2 linked regions of the Lytechinus pictus genome follow. The protein of the gene in region 1 interacts with the protein of each later gene in a pairwise test. Links are inferred from orthologs where the notes say so. Each region holds a gene or a part of one and is shown in the gene's direction. Other genes may lie near its edges.

Region 1 (9,701 bases):
GGAATCCGACCTTGGCAATAACATGATCAATGTAAAAGAAATAAATATTAAGAAAGCAGATCAGTGCTAGTTTGAAATAAACAAATCTCACAAGGAATGTGAAAATGAGATCATTAATAAAGACATTATGAATCTCCAATTGGCAGTTTTGTGAATTGATTTTGGTAAGAAGAGCTCTCCCGTTTATTAGGAATTCTTGATATTTTAAGAACCTGAGGGTGATAATCATCATACATGTAGCAATATGTCCCCATAAAGGGGGGGGGGGGACGGGGATCAGTAAACATTGAAAATAAGATCACATAATAGTAGAATGTTGTCTCTACTTCATAGCATCATTACTTTTGTGGCCAATTTGAAAAACTTTTTGTTTGAGTTGGATTACCCCTTTTAGTGTGTTTTCTAAGTTACATCAATCGATGGTTTTCTCTTTTCTCTGTGCAGGTAAGATGCTTATTTCCAGCCGTGAACCAAATTTCTTTGTTAAGGATAGCTCGTGGATGGGATTTCAATAAAGAAGCAAAAGGTATTTTCAAATCATTCTATGCACTCAAGTGAAAATAACATTAATTTTTTGAGCAAATTAATCATCTATTTGCTCTTCAAATAACTTTTATTGTAATATTGATGTAACTGACACTATGTAAGTGGTTTTAAGATTGCAGTATTATCTTTTTTAATGAGCGTCACTATTGTCTTTATGCCAGGATTGGAATGGGCAGTTGGCAATGATGCACTTGTAAGAGCTCAATATATATTATCAATATTGATGTCATCGAAATTTCCCTGAAAATACTTACAACTATATATATTTACTCATCACATTGGTAAATTACCTATTCATGTAATTATTATTCCAACCACCAGGTGATTGTTAATTATGATTAAAAAACAATACACATTAATTTCTACAATTTCTAATGTAAAATAATGACTAATTACTAAAATTAAGGTTATTATTCATTTGGTGTGAGTTCCAATAGTAGATTTTACAATATGAAGTATCCAAACTCACTTTGAAGATAAAATGTGAAACATTTTGATGATTTGCACCCTTCTCCGCCTGGTGGTTGATAAAGATGTTTGATATCTAAAATTAATTTTTATAAATAAAAGAAATTCCAAGCATATTTTAAAGATAAAATCTGAGACATTTTAAATATGCACCATCTCCATCAGGTTGTAGATAGAGATATACGATGTTTAAAGTTAAAGTCATTTTGAAATGTAGGTTTAGTTGTGATAACTAAACAAAAATTGACCCCAAAACTGATTAAAACTAAATATTGACTTCCATGAAAAAAGCCATATATGAGATCATCTGGTAAATTCTAATAATTGTTTCTAGTGACTTTTAGTGAAGCAATTCATATGGTCATGTATTGGACAATGCTTTACCATGGGCATCTATGCCTTCAGTTCCCTTTACAATTGTTCAGTATACAGGCCTAAAGAGAACTGATGCGAGTTACTTTTTAACCTCACCATCATACTCAACTTTGTGTGTATATATTGTTGAAATGAATAACACTATTTATTTTGAAGCTAATAATTTAACAAATTATAATATGAAGTTGTTTTCATCCATATTATTTTAAAGATAAATACCAGTTGTGGTAACGATCTCAAAATGAGTTCGAACAGAATCCAATAAAATTACCACCCAAGTTTTTGTATGTAATAAATAAAAAATATGTGCCAAATAGCTCTCTGGAAGAAAATGCGTAATTACTGAGAAATGAGCAAAATAAGTATGGAATTCCATCAAATGTTTGGTATTTTCCCAAGCAATATTAATACACTGTCCCACACATGCTATTTCTGTGTTGATGAGCATCAGAATTGTCAGTTTTGAGCTAAGATTTCATGATTTCACAAAGATAGGTTTAGATTGATGTACCAGATCTAGATATATGATAATATAGTGACAGTTAACCTTGATTTAAAAAACTTTCTCATGAAATAATTGTTTACTGCAACTACTTTCCTTTTCCTTAAAATGCAGTTAATCAGATTCAAGAATGTTTGATTGGTTACAGGGATGTAGCAGACTGGCATTGGCTGGCTAGGGTCTACATTGTGATTGCCACCTGTACAAGAGCATAAGGTTTCTAAAACCAGAAAGAGTTTTATCAGAGAGAGAGGCGACCACACTATGGCTTGGAAAACGGGTAGGGAGTCGATGATCAGCATCAACTTCCCAACAAGCCTTCACCTACAACCCCTCCAGAGAACGACATCAGAATCGTGTCTACACTCCAGGGAAGGTCTTGAAAACATCAGTAAGTAGATGTCATTAATTTGAATTTAGAGTGTTTTCAAGCAAATTCCTGTGTATTATATTTACATATACATAAAAGTGTGCCCTTACTATGACATCACTCATTTGTGTTTAATATTCTTGAGTGATTAGTTAAGCACAGTGTACTCAAAACCATGCATTAATCACATTGTTCCTCTCTTTCAAAATGATTACAAACTTCATTTACTGTCCCTTTCACGAGGTAAAAAAATTGTAATTTGAATGATGATTCCAGTGAAAAATCAAGCTAATGACGAATTTTTAGCACGTGTAAAACCAAACTAAAATCACGAACGCTATTAATCACAATCATGAATTCAAATTGGTGAATTGTGAATTCCAGTTAAGTTTCACTCAAATTATGGTACAAATTGTATGTGTGAAAGGTCCAATGATTCTAAAGACAAACTGCAGTCATCATTACTATGATGAATCAAGATTCACGTGTGAAAAGGCCCTTGGATACTACAGTTGAACCTGATTCTTCCGTGCTTCAGAATTATTAATTCAGTTAAATATTAATGTAATTTTTCAATTCTCACTCACTGTCCATGCAATCTTGTAGGTTTATTTCCAATTCGTCCAATTGCCAACTCGTCTTCTATCATTTGGTCTACCATCAGTTTGTCCACTCACCACATGGTCTACTTTCATTTAGTCTAATGCCAATCCGTCTAATAACCAGTTGGTCCAATAGCCATTTAGTCCATATACCATTTGGTCTAATTGGACTAGAGTGTTGATTGTGCAATATGAATGAAAATGAAATTAGACCAACTGGTTATTAGACAAAATGGTCGTGGACGAAATGGTGATTAGACAAAGTGGTGATTGGACCAAATGGTTGTTAGAAAAATGTTGGTGGACGGAATGGCATGAGACTAAATGAAAGTAGACCGTGTGGTGAGTGGACGAGTTGGTAGTAGAAGAATGGGCAATTTACCATCTTAATGTCTAAGGAAAAAGCGTTCGACCCCATAGCCATGATCATTGGTGGCACATGAAATTTTGAAATGCACAAATGAAAGAATCATGATTCAAGATTCAAAGCAATATTTTGCTATCATCCAGGAGCTCATTCTTGCAATTTTAGTCAAGTTCTGCTGAATTCTATATTAGGTTTTTGCAAAAAGTAGTGCAAAAATTGACCTTGTGAATATGTATCAACTTCTGAGCACATGTTCCAAGTTGTATTATAGAAGCCTTCTTTGACGTCATTATGAGCATGATTGATTGATTGATTGAGCAAAATCCTAATATGAACAATAATTGATAAGATAAACAAAAACAAATTTTAATCTTCTGATCCTTTCATAAAAGTCTTTTTGCTACAGATCAACAGGAAAAATATGTCTAATTCAACCCATATACCCAAAGATTAAAGCAATACAAACCAGCAGCTTTGTATAGCACCGACTCAAGTCCCCTACTACTCGATACTGGCCATGTTTCTTACCCATAATGCAACATTCTAAGCAGTGCAGTCTTCTTCCCAAATTATTTCCTATTTGGAGACATTCAAAAGTCAAACCATTGCGAATGAAATACATGAAGAGATTTCACACACAGGAATTGCAATAAATTAATTCTTGATATATCAGTCAAAAGTCTTTATTTTATTTACTCTTAAATGTATTATAATCATAACAATAGTAATAGTCATTTATGTAGTGCTATCAATCTAGAAATAATCTTTTTGATGGGCACTATTATCATTACCCTGGAGTATAAGCTCAAGTTGCTGTTTGTAGCACATGTGTATTCAAGGAATCAATCCTGCCAGGTCCCCATTTACCTCACATGGATGCAGCATAATGTGGGTAAATTTCTTTTTTGAAAGAAAACACATCATGGCATGAATTTGATTTTGAACCCACAAACCTTGCATTGAAAGACAAGAGTTAGAACCACTAGACCATGATGCCCTGCCTCCCTCCTAGTTATTTTGATAACTGGCACCGCCCTTTTTAAATATTTGAGCTATAGGGCCAAATTTTAGCAAAATTTACCCATCAGATTCCCACAAAGGAATTTGGTTCCATTCAGTCATACATGTAGGTGATTTCACACCTCCATGACAAGAAAAATACCTGATATCTTGTCAGAGTGAACAACGCTACTTGTACCTGTAGATAATAGATAAATTAGTACATGTATACAGTACCTCTTAAAAAATGAAAATTTTCTCCAAGTTAGCAGTGACAATTTTAAGGTCTAATTCTCAGAATATTTATAGGAAGAATGCACTTTCTTACACACAAATACACATTCCTTGATGTAGTTCCATGAATTGTGAAAACGTCTGGGGTGTGAATCTGTGAAATATATTGTTAAAGCAAAATTTGGGGCGTCAAAGATCTTGTAATGTATTTTCCAGATTGGGAAGGTGTGAAAGTTCTTTATATCTTTTATAATTCGTTCACATACACAATTTAAAACACTGAAATGGTAATGCTAATTTCTATATGTATAAAGAAAAATTATACATCTTCATTTACTGAAACATATTGGAAAGCTGTAAAAAATGCTACAATATACATAGCCATATTCTAAATCAAATTACATGTAGATACCAAATGAATGAGCTATTCCAAAATAATTTAGATTTATTGAAAAATACTAAGCTTTTTTTTGCTTGTCAAATTTTCCTCTGGAAATGTGTCCCCCCCCCCCCCCCCTTTGGCAAATCCTGGATCCGTCCCTGACTGGGATTTTGTATTTTTTCCCAAAACTCATTATGAAGTAAGCCAAATAGCTTTTCCAAAACTTTAATATTGAACACTGACTATAAACATGATACATGATGGAAAGTTATTTAAAAAAAAACACAATAACTAATAATTTGAGCATCAGTCAGTTCAAACTAGAACTTGTCAAAGAAAATGAATGCTCTGATCAATCTTAAATTTATTTGTATTTGACATTGCTTTATTTGAGTTTCGAGATTTTTATCTTAACAGGCTATTATAGAAGCCATAGTTCATGTTTGTACACATAACTATCTTTAAGTTTTAAAAATCATTTTTGCATGTACTGTATATGTAGACTTGATCATAAATTATCGGCCTTTAACTTTACATACATGTACAGGTTGTATGTACAAGTAAAAGATAAAAATTGAATTAGATTTCACTTAGTTTCTATGATGCTAATTAAAGCACTTGTGGTTTTTATGCAGCTCAAATTGTATGTGAGAGATTTTTGTCTCATTTTACAGTTTCATCTTTTGCTTTTTAAGTCATTGCCTCCTGGAAACGGATGGTTGCTGTTCAAAGCATATGGTAATCACAGAATTGTGAAGTCAGTGTGTTAATGAAGATCAATGCACAGAGCTATACTTTCAGTGTTGGGGTCTTCTGTATGCCTGTATCTCAGTTTCTTCCAATTCACATATCATTAATGAGTAATTCTTGATTGGAAAACACTTGACCATATCCTGAATTTGTGACTAATGTATGTCTAATCAAAGTTTTAACGACCTTAATAATATCTAATTCAAAAGATATCAGTGAGGAGGAAGAAAATGATCGCTGGGTTGTTGAAATACAGTATGTAGGTGGGGTTTTCCCACTAGGACAGGTCTCATAAAACCTTGGACCTTGATATCACGATGAAATTTTGAACTGTACTTCCTGTGTATAAATTGGCATTCCTTTTCCATTATACATGCATGCAGCTGGATTATTTTATTCAATGTTCCTGGAGGTGTATTATCTATTAATATTGTATCCCGGTAGTTTATACATGGATGAGTGCAAGTTCATGGAGACCACATGGAAGTAGGGTGATATATCTGTATATCGCCTGTAAAGCAAAGTACCTGTTGAATAGTTTGATATATATTACAAATGGGATGTATTCAAATTTGATTTTTTTGTGAGGAATCGACCTGTGGAAATTCCTTTGTATGGGGATTTTATCTTCTCCCAGTTCATCATGCACCAGAGATGATCTGAGATTGATTGCTGTTAGAACATGTGAAGTTTCATGTGGCAGCTGAAAGAGGCGTAAAAGGTGACACGGGACCTTCCATCGTATCAGGGGTCACAACCGGGTGTTTGCTGGTTTTGATAATTGCTTCAGGTTCACAGTTGATCTGTGTACTGCCGTATGAAGAGGTTAGCACGTTTATGGATATCCTTCTTCTGAGCAATTAGACTGGTTTTGAATACTATGATGGACAATTTTGTTGGATTTTAGTATCTAAGAGTAAGAACAATCTCTGCTCTTACATGTAGATGGAACTTTCTACTCCCTGTAAAACTCATGTTTTGTGTACATTGAAGAAACAGATCAGCTAGTGAACTATTATAGAACAAAATCACTTAGATGTCTCATCAACTTATGTCAAGTGCATCGAGAACAAAGTACTGTCTGTTGTCATGTGACATCATCAGTTTTGCTAATTTCGATCAAGTGATTGACATTTTTTTTCCAACATTGCAAGTTTCAATTCACCTGACTTTATAATAACCAAGATTGGATACTTATTGCGCGATATAATCTCAACTACATGTACTGTAGGAACTGATACCTCTGTATCCAAAGTCCTCCATGGTCTATACTGAAGAGCAAAGACCCTCTAAAAGGCTCTCCAAAGCTTGATAATTTTTAAAACATTTAATATCTCCACAAGTTCTTGAGGATCACATATTTTGCAAGCGGAAGCGAGGATGCATGGAGGTTGGTTTTGTTCTGACTAATAATGGAACTGTTAGATAAATGAAGTGATTTTGTGATGGATCATATTGTCATGTCTTCCTGTCTGCCATGAACCTGGATGGCTGAAGACGGAAAATGGAGCAAGGTTATTATTTAGATCTAGATCCCGATCAAGGGGACGACGTGGAAGATGAACCAAAGTGCGATCCACCCTACGTGAATGCGGAGATCCAAGGATCATCAACGATGGATATACTCAAGAGAACAAGTATGACGCAGTAGTAATATTAGTTTAATAGTAGTAGAAGTAGTAGTAGTAGTAGTAGAAGTAGTAGTAGAAACCTATCTAGTTGTATAAAGTAGATTAAGTAGAGGTAGTGGTAGTGGTAGTAGCAGTAGTAAGTCAAAAAGTGGAAGAAGAAAAGAGTAGTAGAAGAAGAAGTGGTGGTGGTGATACTTGTAGTCACATGTGTAAATACATGATGTACATGATGTCATACTATTCAAGGGGGGGTCAACTATTGTGTCACCCCCCCCCCCCCAGCCCTGAAGAATAGGTTTGCTGCTTGATTATGCCAGTGCTTGTAATGAAGGTGGTGGTATAGTAATGGTTGTAGTATAAGTATTAGTAGAAGTACTAGTAGTAAATATTAGTCCTAGTAGTAGTAATAAAGGTGGTAGGAGTAGTAGATGATCAGACATAGTGGTATAAGAAATAGTCATTATAATAATAATAGGAAGAAGTACGTAGCAGTAGAAGTAGTGCCGTGGTAGCAACAGTGTGTAGAAGAGGCTGGGGGGTGAAGAAGGAGGAGAAGACAAAGGAGGAAGAGGAGAAGAAGAAGTGCAAGAGGAAGAAGACAAAGGAGGAGAAGAAGGAGAAGGTCTAAGCAGAAAGGAGATGAAGGAGGAGGAGGAGAAGAAGAAGGAGGAGGAAATGTAGAAGATAAAGGGAAAGAACAAGGCAGTGGGGGCTGATTAGGAGGAGTATGAGGATTGGGAGTAGAAAAAATAAAAAATTATTAAGAAGAAGCCTAGCAGGGAAAGAGGAAGACAGTAAGGGGTTTGGAGTGGCAGAAGTAATTGTAGAAGTAATAGGCTTTATTGGATAATATTTAGCACAGGCATAGTGGCATACATATATTAAAGACAGAAGCTATCAAGCTTGGTAGAAACCATCAGATCGATTGATCATCCCAACAAACCATACCTGCCACATGGTCCAAAGGGCAATGGCTTTGTTTAATACTGTGCTGTAATTCATTTAATCAATAGATAATCAGACAATTTTGAACTTGCTCTCATGTTTATTTTGTTTCTAAAAGCCATCTTTGTTTTGATTACCAGTGCAAACATTGGGATACACGTAATTTGGCGTGACTCAGATCAATAGTAATTTGTATTTCAAATGACAAGTTTTGAAGAGGTAGTATATGGCGTATGGGGGCTATTTCTAAATACTCTAACCTTTTGAAAATGAGAATCTAATTTTGTGACAGATTGTAACATAAATTCCAGTTAAGGATTTCATAGTTGACAATTTTCTCTTTCATTTCCTTTTTTTTCCTTGTTTCCCTTTATTTTATTTCATTTATTTCTTTTTCTCAGTCATAGAACTTTTGAAGGGATAGGGCAAGTGCCCCAAGCCCTCAACCATCTGTACACCAGTAGATGTGGGTATAGTCAATTTACATGTACAGTGTAGATCCTATTCATGTGCAACTTGATTGTATCATAGCACTGAAGGATGCCAATTTATAGCTACTTAATTATTGTTGAGATAAAAAGCCACAACTCTAATTAAAGCAATGAATATGAGACCAATATTAGTTTAGATATTCTTTTTATTTCCTGAAATCAAACAGTGCACCAACGTTTGGTAAAAGAGGAGAACATTTTTCTTCTCAATTTTTCTTCATCTTTTGATTCAGCTATCCTCTGCAAAAATGAGCAATTTAAGGCAAAAGTCTTATAGCCTAACATTTTGACTTTCAACATCCAAGCTACAAGGTCCGACTGTCGACTGTGATGTTATAAAAATGAAGCCCCCAAAAAAATCTTAGTGGAAAAAAGTGAAATATATAACTGACTGAATACACCATCTTAATTTCATCCCATACACGAACATACTATTAATCTCCAAAGAGGAGGTTTGGTGAAATTTATGATTTTTCAGTCACAGATATCTTGAAAGAGTCTGCTCAAATTTGATTTTTTTTTTCTTCCTGGGTGATTTTTACACCCATATGAGCAGTATCGTAACATGAATCAAATTCAAATTTGTTTAAATACGACCTACATGCCTGCCTTTAAGAGTGGGCTGAGCAGAATGAATCATTTAACAAAACAAGGAGAAGAGAAGAAAGGTAACTATTTTGTTTTTTGGTGAAATCTCAAGCAAAGATCTGAATAGAATAATTAGTGTTCAATATCATAGTGATGCCATGCTTCAAGGAGCTAGAATTTCCTGGTAAATGATTCAGTGAAGTAAAGCACACAGGATGGTTGGCAAATGAGTTTTTAATAGTTTGGAGGAACGATGTAATTGAATCAGGATAGCGTCTATAGATCTCAACATGCGTTGATAGGCTTGATCCATATCCTGTTATGTCTTAGGTCCAATCGTTTGATTACTTCTCTGTAACTTGATGTTTTGCATGCTATAGAGCGATGGAGCAATTGCAAATTGCATGGGTAGATATGATTTGAGATTTCTAGATGATGAGGACAGTGATGA
Region 2 (10,062 bases), about 1.6 Mb from region 1:
CCATGTACAATGTGCTTCTCTTTGTGGATGGGGGATGGATGGTCGACCAGACTTTCGTAAGCATGAACCCTTTTTATGGATTTTACTTCATTTTGCCAAAGGTCACAGATTATCAATTTTATGAAAAACAAAATGTTTCAATTGTTTGCTCTTGAAACTTCAAAGATTAACTAAAAAGCTACCTGTATTTTCTCATTTCCCTTTAGTGGTAATTGATTTGATATTGGACTTATGGTCATTGTCTTCAATTTTCATCTCCTTAAAGGTTCCCTTTTTCAAATGTACATACTGGTTATTTTGCCTAGTTACATATTTTGGGACCACAGAAATATCACTTGGGATAAATTGGAATTAAGGGGTTTTGTGTGTTCACTGTTTTACATCATCTGATTGTTTCAAAATTGCTTTGACTTCGGCTAATATCCGACTTATGGGAGGTTGATTGTACTTTTTTGTATAAAAGGGTAACATTTGTGAAATCTATTCTGATACTTGTTATGGTTGATACATTGAATCAATTGCATGCATTAAAGGATTACTCGTTATTTTTTTTCCTCAGGATGATGATGAGGAAGAAGTTGATGAGGTTCGTGTAAGTCAGATGCAGAGGTTACGAGAGCTGTGCCTGCCGAGGATGTGCCTTCTCCTTCACTCGGTTCTTCATTCCACACACCAGTACAAGGATTGCCTGATACTGGCTGATGTCATCGCATCGGAGCAGCACCAGCTTTATAAGGTCAGTTGAATTTGAATCAGGGGTACGTTTTCATAAGCATATGTACATGTAGTATGCCTAGCAATAGAGTCTTGGAAATCTTTGTTGGAATGCTCCCCAGGGAGAAGAGGAAGGCATACATTGTGTGCGGGCATGCCAGGATCCGATGACCGGGGTAATAATGTATCTGTAAACCGCTTATAGATGCCGTTCCAAATCTGAATAAAGCGCTATATAAAAGCGGATTATTATTATTGTTGTTGTTATTGTTAATATTATTATCATTATTATTATTATTCTGCATTCATGGTTACTTTGCCAATGTGGTATCTAACACATTGGAACGTTTGATTTTGATTGGCGACTTAACTCTGTTACCATGATAGTTGTCATAATGGTAGTTACCACAAATTTCTCAACTATCAGAAAAAACAACCCATGGGCCCATTTCAATAAGGTCTACAGTTATGGTAACTCCCATGGTTAACTTGATTGTGATTGGCTGTTAAGCTCTGTGACTATGGAAGTTGTCATAATGACAAAGTTACCTTGCAAATGTAAGTCCTTTGTGAAGCATGCCCCTGATTGTGATTTTAGACAATGGAGGAAATTGTCTTGAAGTGACTGTGAAATGTTGTTTATATAAAGCACATTAGGGGCCCCTTGCATAAAAGTTACTATTATGATAACATTGCCATCCAATGGTAACTACCATAGTAATGATGATCAACAGCCAATAAAAATCAAGGATTCCATGAATGTTGCCAATGGATGGCAAAGTTACCGTAATAGTTACCGTAATGTCCATTTTAGCTGCATTTGTGATATTATGACCATAATAGCATTTAAAGCGTTTGTCCTAGAGGAGAGAAGAATTTTTGATAGTCGTTATTTGGATAAAGTTAAATGTTTCTCCTCTATTCTTTTTTTTTCTATACATCTATTTTCACCCATTGCAGGTGTTCAGCAAGCCTGAATTGAAACAAGTTCTCTCGCGTCTTAGGGAGTCGTCACTGCAACTCTTAGATCAAAGTCTTGATGCGTTAGGTTATGAAATTGCATCATGATCATATGACCAGACACTAAACCAGACCAGACAATAAAATTCCCAAACTACACTAAGGATGGGACGAATCTTGCCTCACAATAAACTAGGTCACCCAACTCACTCATAAAGTGTAACCAATATGCATCACCAGAGAATTGTAATACAGTCAAAATTTATGTGAAGGCAACACAATTCCCCATTGCTTAATCATTTTGTGTTAGAAGGCCAAGCTCCAATGTATTTATAATATATCAAGAATGAGAGAAGAATACAGGGCCATTCTGATCATTCTGATATCCTTCATTTCATTAAAAAAAAAGGTTTCTTTTATCTACTCTATCTATCTAAATCAGGCCCCTCCCCCCTCAACATTTTTTACGATAAATCTGTAACGCGAAAAGATCACGCCCTAAAGTTTCATGACTTTTTTCCTTCAAGTCTCGTGCAACTTTTTAACTTTCTCGATGCGGGGTTACACCGTTCTGAAGTTACTTAGAATTGTGTAAATGTATGTCAGACCCAATATTAAAAACATGAGTTCATGTACAAATCCAATGCAAATTATGGATGTAGCCAAAATTCATAAATATATCATCATTTTTGTCTCGCCTGCATAGCAGAGCGAGACTGTAGGCGCCGCTTTTCCAACGGCGGCGACGTCGTCAACATTGAAATCTTAACCAAGGTTAAGTTTTTGAAATGTCATCATAACTTAGAAAGTATATGGACCTAGTTCATAAAACTTGGACATAAGGGTAATCAAGTATTACTGAACATCCTGCGGGAGTTTCAGGTCACATGTCCAAGGTCAAAGGTCGTTTAGGGTCAATGAACTTAGACCATGTTGGGGGAATCAATGTAAAAATCTTAACCAAGGTTAAGTTTTTGAAATGTCGTCATAACTTTGAATGTATATGGACCTAGTTCATGAAACTTGGATATAAAGATGATAGTGTATCCCTGAATATCCTGTGCGATTTTCAGGTCATATGACCAAGGTCAAAGGTCATTTAGGGTCAACGAACTTTGATAATGTTGGGGGTATTTGTGGAATTGTCATCATAACTTTAAAATTTGATAGATCTAGTTCATAGAAACTTGGGACATAAGAGTAACCATGTATCCCTGAATATCTTGTGCTTGTTTCAGGTCACATGACCAAAATCAAAGGTCATTTAGGGTCAATGAACTTTGGCCATGTTGGGGGTATTGGTTGAATTGGCATCATCACTTAAAAAGTTTATAGATCTACACAGTTTATGAAACATAGATATAAGGGATATTCAAGTTGTTTTGCACATGTCTGAGGTCATATGATCATGTTCAAAGGTCATGTTGGGTAAATGGACATTGTATTTTATTATCATATGAGTGTTTTCTTTTATGAATAATTATTTGATAGCTGTTTTCAAAGTCAGCACTGCTGGTATATCAAATCGCATAATGCAGGCGAGACTGCCAGAGGCGTTCCACTTGTTATTTGTACTGATTAAAAGTAATTGATTTCATGTTATTTATGACTGAAAAAGTGTTGCCAATAGTTTCCATAAAAACAACAATGAAAACCATAAAGTAAAATAAACAGAGAAATGCATAAGAAATTAAATAAGCAATGAAATACATAAGAAAAAACTTTTTTTTTAAAGTAATCATAAGAAGAGTGTCAAGACCAAAATCTAGCAGTTTCGGGCTATATTTTAAGATTAACAGCCAGTTTATGTTTTAATGCATTAATTAGCATAATTGATTAATTCAATTGACAATTTAATTGTGGAGGTTACATCATAGATGATGTGTGTGACAATTTTTGTCACAATCGCGTGATCAATGGCCGAGATCTGAGGAGGGGGTGTTTTTGCCCCCCCCCCCCCCACTATAAGGGTTAAGTCTTCCAGTAAATAGGTGTTCTTTTTCGAGAAAGGACATGTAATACAGGCTTCACAAAATCTAGAATTTGTACTCTCATTCGAGAGAGCGAAATAGAGTTGTTTATGTTTTATGTATTTTTGAATCCTTCAAAAGGGAAAGTTGTTTGTGTAACAGCGCACATCTTGGTTGCATTATATTGCCTAATGATAATGTGACTTATAAAGCGCCAAATCCTCTCTGTAGAGTGCTCAAGGCGCATAAAGAGCTAAGTGTTAAATAAAAAAGTTTTTTAGAAGATTTTTGAAAGTTTCGACAGAGGTACATTTTTTTATGTCTTCATGAAGGCTATTCCACAAAGTGGGGCATGCAAAAGCAAATGATCTTTCCCCCCAGGTTTTTGAAACTTTTGGAATAACAAGGAAGCCAGAAGTGGATGAGTACAAAGACCTGCTTGGTCTGTAGTAATTGATTAATGAAAGACTATTTTGGTGCTGATCCAAGAATACTATGAAAAGCCTATGGGACAATCTCCATAACATTAGTGTTTTGTACATTCAAATGCTCAATAACTTACATTTCTTGTCCATTTTTTCACAAACCTTCATCAAAATCTTACAGATTTATCTTTTTTTTTACACAACCTAACTTTTTCCAAAATTTTTGTTTTCCATGAATGGTAATATTTTTGTCAATATTCCATATTATTTTTTCTGTTATTTGTGTCAAATACTTAAAGAATCATGACTGTCAAATGTATATTGTATAAAGTGACTTTCTACTCACATTCTTTTGTTAGATGAACCATGTTCCTATGGAAGAAACCACAATGTTATTTTGTAAATATAAGCTGCTGATAAAAATAATGAACAAATCCTGTATTTGTGTTGAGTAAATATTTTGTTGTGGTTGTAAAAAGCCAGAGTCCAGTCTACTCACATTTAGGTACCCGTGGCTGAAATTGACATGCATATATTGGAATAGACCATATTTCTCTTGTTCAATCATGGCACATTCTATATCTATAGGATTGTTTCCAAAAGAGTTAATTGTGTCTCATTATCCTCACTTTTTTTCGGTATATAAAGCATCATCGCATTGGTCAAATCATACCAAGGGTATGCACACTAGTGTGTATTAATCCTATGGTATCAATCAATAAGATTGCGTGTTACATATCATGTGCGTGCATGATTTTAAGTCACATTTAACACTATTTACACCGTAGAGCTAAAAGGCCTTTAATTTTTTCCTGTATCCATGAAATGCTGACTATTTTCAGGGTTAAATTCTTAAAGAAATAGATAAATTCATTCTGTATGCTTATCGTTTGTGAAGATAATCATTGTCAGATTAGGCTGAGACTTTCTCTTTCATTTGCAACTACTTGAAGACACAGAGAGAGAGAGAGAGATCAGCTATGTTAACTTAAACATTTTGACAAAAGCACAGAATGGCCAGCAGAGCAATAGGTCTGTAACATACTTATATAAGATTTGATTTATTACGACCAGAAATCAAAACACATGTTGGCCTATCAATTATTGCCATCCATCGTCTTGCTGGCCATCCTAGCCTATTCATTGATAATTCAAAATGGCTTTGAAAAAAAAGATAACAGAATAAGAAAAACAGCAGAAGCATGCCCTGGGCAATTTGAGAGAGAGAGGTTGGGGGGGGGGGGTTCTCAAAGAATTAGGTAAGAGAGGAAGAGAAAGGAATGGAGAGAGAGAGAGAGAGAACAAGGACATGGAATGCAAAAAAATTGTGGGGTACGTCTCATAATGTTACATCAACAAAACCAAAGGTATTACATTACGGTCTCCCTTGACTCTAGTTTCCCTCAAATTATGCATACATGTACTAATTGAAAAATCCTGTGGGGATGGGGCACTGAGAGAGTGAAACGTTGGAGCAGTAAGCACATGACAAAAAATGTTACTTTATTCTTTTCGCCTATGTTTTGCTAATATAGAAATTGTTAAAATACACAGAACTCTAATTCATGATGCACATCCCCTCCCCTTAGGATTTAGAGGCATATTAAATTCCAATTTCCCCCCCCCCCCCACACACACACACCCCACCCTTCTTGCAATTGTATATTTAACACATTGGCAAGAATAGTGAGCATTTTTTTTGTCCCAGGATATATTCAGTCAAATCAGGAACTTAATTGAAATAATTCTCCCTCATGGCCCCACCCTCCCTCCTTTCCCATTAAGAAATAAACCAAACACGTATCTAGTAGGCCTACATAAAAAAAAGTCCCAAGATAACAAAACTCCCCAAAAAGCAAAACATACCTGTGGACAGAGAAAGGAAACGGTTCGGGGTGGGGGGTAAATGAGCGATGAAGTAGAGAATGGGGGATAGGGAAAAGTGACTGAGGGAGGATGATGAAGAGGTTGAAGTTGATTACTCCCATTCTCCTGCTCGTGTCGACGGCGAGCGCCATCTGCGTGTAAAATATTACAGGATTGAAGGGGGATCGAGCTCGAGGAAGAAGAGAATTTAAATGCAAAATGTCGATAAGTTTTGTAAAACACCGAGATGCTTTGATGCAGGCATACAAAGATGTCTGTGACGACAAAAAACCGACAGACTGGTAAGTATCATTAAATTCAAAGGTAATGAGATATTCGTTTTCCTGTTTGAAAGAGGAACAGGTGTGTGAATTTTCCGATTGCGGAAACGACCGACCAAGACGAGCCAAGCTGGGGCGCTGGCCGTGTCTTTGAGTTAAAACAACGGGGGACTACCCGTGTGAATTAAGCGTCATGACCGGTGGTTGCCAACTTCCGGGTATGCCTGCTCGGCTACTGGTCGAAGTTTGTTGCGAATTATACAATGGCAAATCTCTCATTTTCAAATGTAATACATATGTAGTACTAGTAGCATTATTGTGAAATAAACCACCAGTCCAAACGTTGCTGTAGAGTGTTTATTTCATCAGTTTTCATGATTTTAAACTAGAATAAAGCTGCAGCTAGCCAGCCACTCAACAGTAGAGGCGCACGGCCAATATTGGAGACTGTCTCCAATGTGGGAGATTATCTCCAATATCAGAGACTCTTGTAAAGAATTTGGGTATCCAATTTCAGAGACAGTCTCCAGTTTTGGAGACCAATTTCCTTTGTTTACATTTGCTGCAAAAGGATTACCTTGGCGGCAAATAAAAATGAGATAAACAGATTCCTCATGAAAAATTAGTAATTAGGCCTACCCCTTTTCACCGTCTACTTTTAGTTTAAAAATTCACCGTCTACCTTTGTTTTGATAAGGATTTTTGTTGTCAATCACACACAAAACAAATGGGCTTCTACAATTCTGACCTCAGTGAGACAAAATTTTGGGTGGAAAAAATCATGCTTTTGTTGGTGTTGTTTCTTTTGTCCTTTTGCAAAGCAAGTCTCCAATGTGGGAGATTGTCTCCCCTATTGGAGAGAGTCTCCCATATTGGCCGTGCAACTCTACTGCTCAAACAGTCATCACTGCCGCTCACTGGTTCAGAAAAAAAAGACAGAATCACTTTTTTTTTATCAATTCATAGTCAATCAAAATGAAAGCTCGATGTCCGAGCTGAAATATTTTCCAATATTTTTTCATAATGACTTCAAAACTGGATAGTTTTAGCTCCATTTCACTGCCTATTGAGCAAGATACGTATCTCATCGAACAAAATACAAATTAAGGTGAATAAAACAAACCGTAGTAGAGAAAAAAATTAGATCGAATTTTCGCCCATAGGGCTTCATCAGGAAATGATGAATTTATTAGTCAACACAAGAAACGCAGTGCGCAAAACATCGAACACTGGGTAATGTCATGGCTTGCGAGTGCTAAGAGCGAGCAAATAGGGTATATAGTATTGTAACAAAACTGCCTATTTAGAGTCTGGTAGTAGACTACCTCTGTTATTCTTCTCTCTCTCTCTGTGTCTATCTCTCTCCTACTATCCCCATCTTCCCTATGCACAGTAGTGCAGTCTCTCTGTGTACACTACATGTGTGTATCTTTATGTAAGAGTGCCTTGTGCACTCATGTGTTTAGGGACTCCCCTACACTTACACTTGAAGGAGGGGGTTAGTTAGTTGAAGTTTGGCCCTCGATGGGTGCAGTTGTTGTGTAGCTCTCGTACTGTGAGGAGTGGTTGTAGTTTGGCTCCTGTATTTTTGGTTGTTTCGCCCTAGCTCTGAAGTCAGAAGATAATCGATTGGGAGCAGATATTTGTGTAACCACTGCTCCAGTTTAGTGTAAATAAAGGCCAAGACCAAGACTTGAAGGTAATTTCAAATTGAGTTGATTCTTATTTTATTTCTAATTAAGTTTGTCAGATGACCGAGAGCAGAGATTGTGAAAACGTGAGTAGACTGAGGAATGAGTGCACGTGAGGATGTGTTGAATCGCAATATATTTTTGTGAAAGAACCTGGTGAGCAAAGTTCAAAGGTGATTTCGGATACAGTATAGCCTTGGCCCTTGGGGACATGAAAGATTGTTCTGTTTCCAAGTCATCACTTCACCTTATTTCAGTCACTCGTCTCCCTCTTATTTTCCCTCTTTTTTCTCCTCTCCTTTCCTTTTTCTTTTTTTTTTCTTCCTTTTTTTCTATTTTTCGCACCCCCAATAGAGAGGTGGCACAGCCCCTTCACCCCCCCCCCATGCAGCAGTAGACTCTACAAGCTTTGATTCTTTATAAAAAGATAACAGTGTGAATGAAAGACTCTACAATTAGGAAGACTAGACACTTGATCAACTTAGCGTAATGCTTTACATTGATTTGTGTGTAAAATAGTTTGAGTACCTCATCTTTCCCTTGTATTGTCTTTGATATAAATATAAATTGTGCTCCCTCTATTGGTGAAAATGTTGGTCTGTGATAAATTGCAATGGCTTCACCGCTTCACTCAATGAAAAAAACGAAAAATAATCAAAAAAATTTCACACAAGGATAACGAGGTGGAAAAAGGGGTTCATATTATTTGGTAAAAGAATTAATGTAATGAAATAAATAAGGTAAAATCCTTGATTTTCACACACATGGCTAATGCAATGAACCCACAGGGCCCGGGTGGACTGCTGTTGGTGACACCTCCTATGCATCCAGTAACTTGTAAGAGACGTACGGCTAATAATGTTGGAGACTCCCGGCCAACATGGGAGACAATTTCCAATATTGGAGACTTGCTGTGCAAAAGGATAAAAGAAACAACATTAATGCCAAGGCAGTTATTCCCTACAAAACTTTTGTCTCACTGATATATATATTGAAGATAAATAAACTTGGTGACAGTCTCCCATATCGGCTGTGTGCCTGGCTTTAGTAATGTCATTACAAATTCATGGAAAGACGGCAAGTCTTCGGAAAGAGACAGTGAAAGAAGAGTATTTAATGACAGAGACTCTGTTTCTAGTACTAGCTGCTGTCCATGACCCACATGGGCATATAAAAATAACACAAATTTCATGATTTATTTTTTTAATCTGATTCAGATAATGCATGAAATAATATTCAAATATTTTTATGCAAAGGACTAAAAAAAAATTTTCCTTACAACAAAAACCTTGAAAAGAATGTAAAAGGAATGCATACAGTAATATTCAGGCATGTGCCTTTGTTTTGTCTATCTCAAAATGACGTTGCAGTGGTTTGTTTCTCAAGCTATGACAAGAAAAAATATCTCTATCACAAATCTTGTCTTCCCCCACTGCAGGGTTGTTTTTGGCTATGAAGGAAAATCATACGACTTGAAGGTAGTCGACACAGGAGGTATGTATACATAAACCATTGATGATTTGAAGAGTTTGAATAGCTCTTCCAATTGCAAAAATTAGTATCTTTTCTTTGATATATGCCTTATTTTGCAGCTTTTTTTTATAAAAAATAATTAAATAAATGATTTAACATGAAGATGGAATTGCCAATTTGAATGAGAAAGCAAGGATTTTGATTTTGTTTTTAATGATTGCAATGATGATGATAGATTACCAAACTATGGGTTAAATTTTCCAAGAACACTAGTGCTAGACAGGCCTGATTATAACGATTGTAATCTTGCCAGTTTTGTTTTTGTTTTTGTTTTGTTTCTGTTTCCTTGTAGAGGATGGCATTGAGGAAATGGCGGATTCCTTCAACTGCGCCAAAATACAGTATGCCTTCCTCAGGGTGATAGACACTAACAGCAATCTACCTAAGAATGTACTTATCAATTGGGTGAGTAATATGATATATGTATATTAAAAAGGGGAATTACATAATTCATTTGGAATTCACCTCTTGTATAAATTTAAAGTAAGCCATTATTTTTTCTTGCAGTACTTGGATTAAAAATTCAATATAGAGAGCTGGGTTTCATGTCTTTCAGGTTTTAATCTTGAACATCTGTTGACAATTAATTTTTGAGAGCTCTGACCTTGATTTTTACCAGTGA

Evidence for each region.
Region 2: the proteins of SH3 domain-binding protein 2-like (region 1) and drebrin-like protein A interact in binary tests that used the Homo sapiens proteins (3 or more experiments, as listed by UniProt). The link is inferred for Lytechinus pictus from reciprocal best matches to the Homo sapiens genes SH3BP2 and DBNL.

What each region holds. Positions count from the first base shown.
Region 1 is NC_087256.1:8,751,754-8,761,454, reverse strand, and holds the start of SH3 domain-binding protein 2-like, read left to right. Parts: upstream 1-5,927; 5' UTR 5,928-7,099; coding exon 7,100-7,232; intron 7,233-9,701. UniProt on the Homo sapiens protein: Binds differentially to the SH3 domains of certain proteins of signal transduction pathways. Binds to phosphatidylinositols; linking the hemopoietic tyrosine kinase fes to the cytoplasmic membrane in a phosphorylation dependent mechanism.
Region 2 is NC_087256.1:7,117,399-7,127,460, forward strand, and holds the start of drebrin-like protein A, read left to right. Parts: upstream 1-5,981; 5' UTR 5,982-6,154; coding exon 6,155-6,237; intron 6,238-7,717; exon of another isoform or gene 7,718-7,915; intron 7,916-9,345; coding exon 9,346-9,401; intron 9,402-9,732; coding exon 9,733-9,845; intron 9,846-10,062. Other genes in the region: nuclear pore complex protein Nup107-like, read left to right, coding at 1-56, 560-736, 1,675-1,782. UniProt on the Homo sapiens protein: Adapter protein that binds F-actin and DNM1, and thereby plays a role in receptor-mediated endocytosis.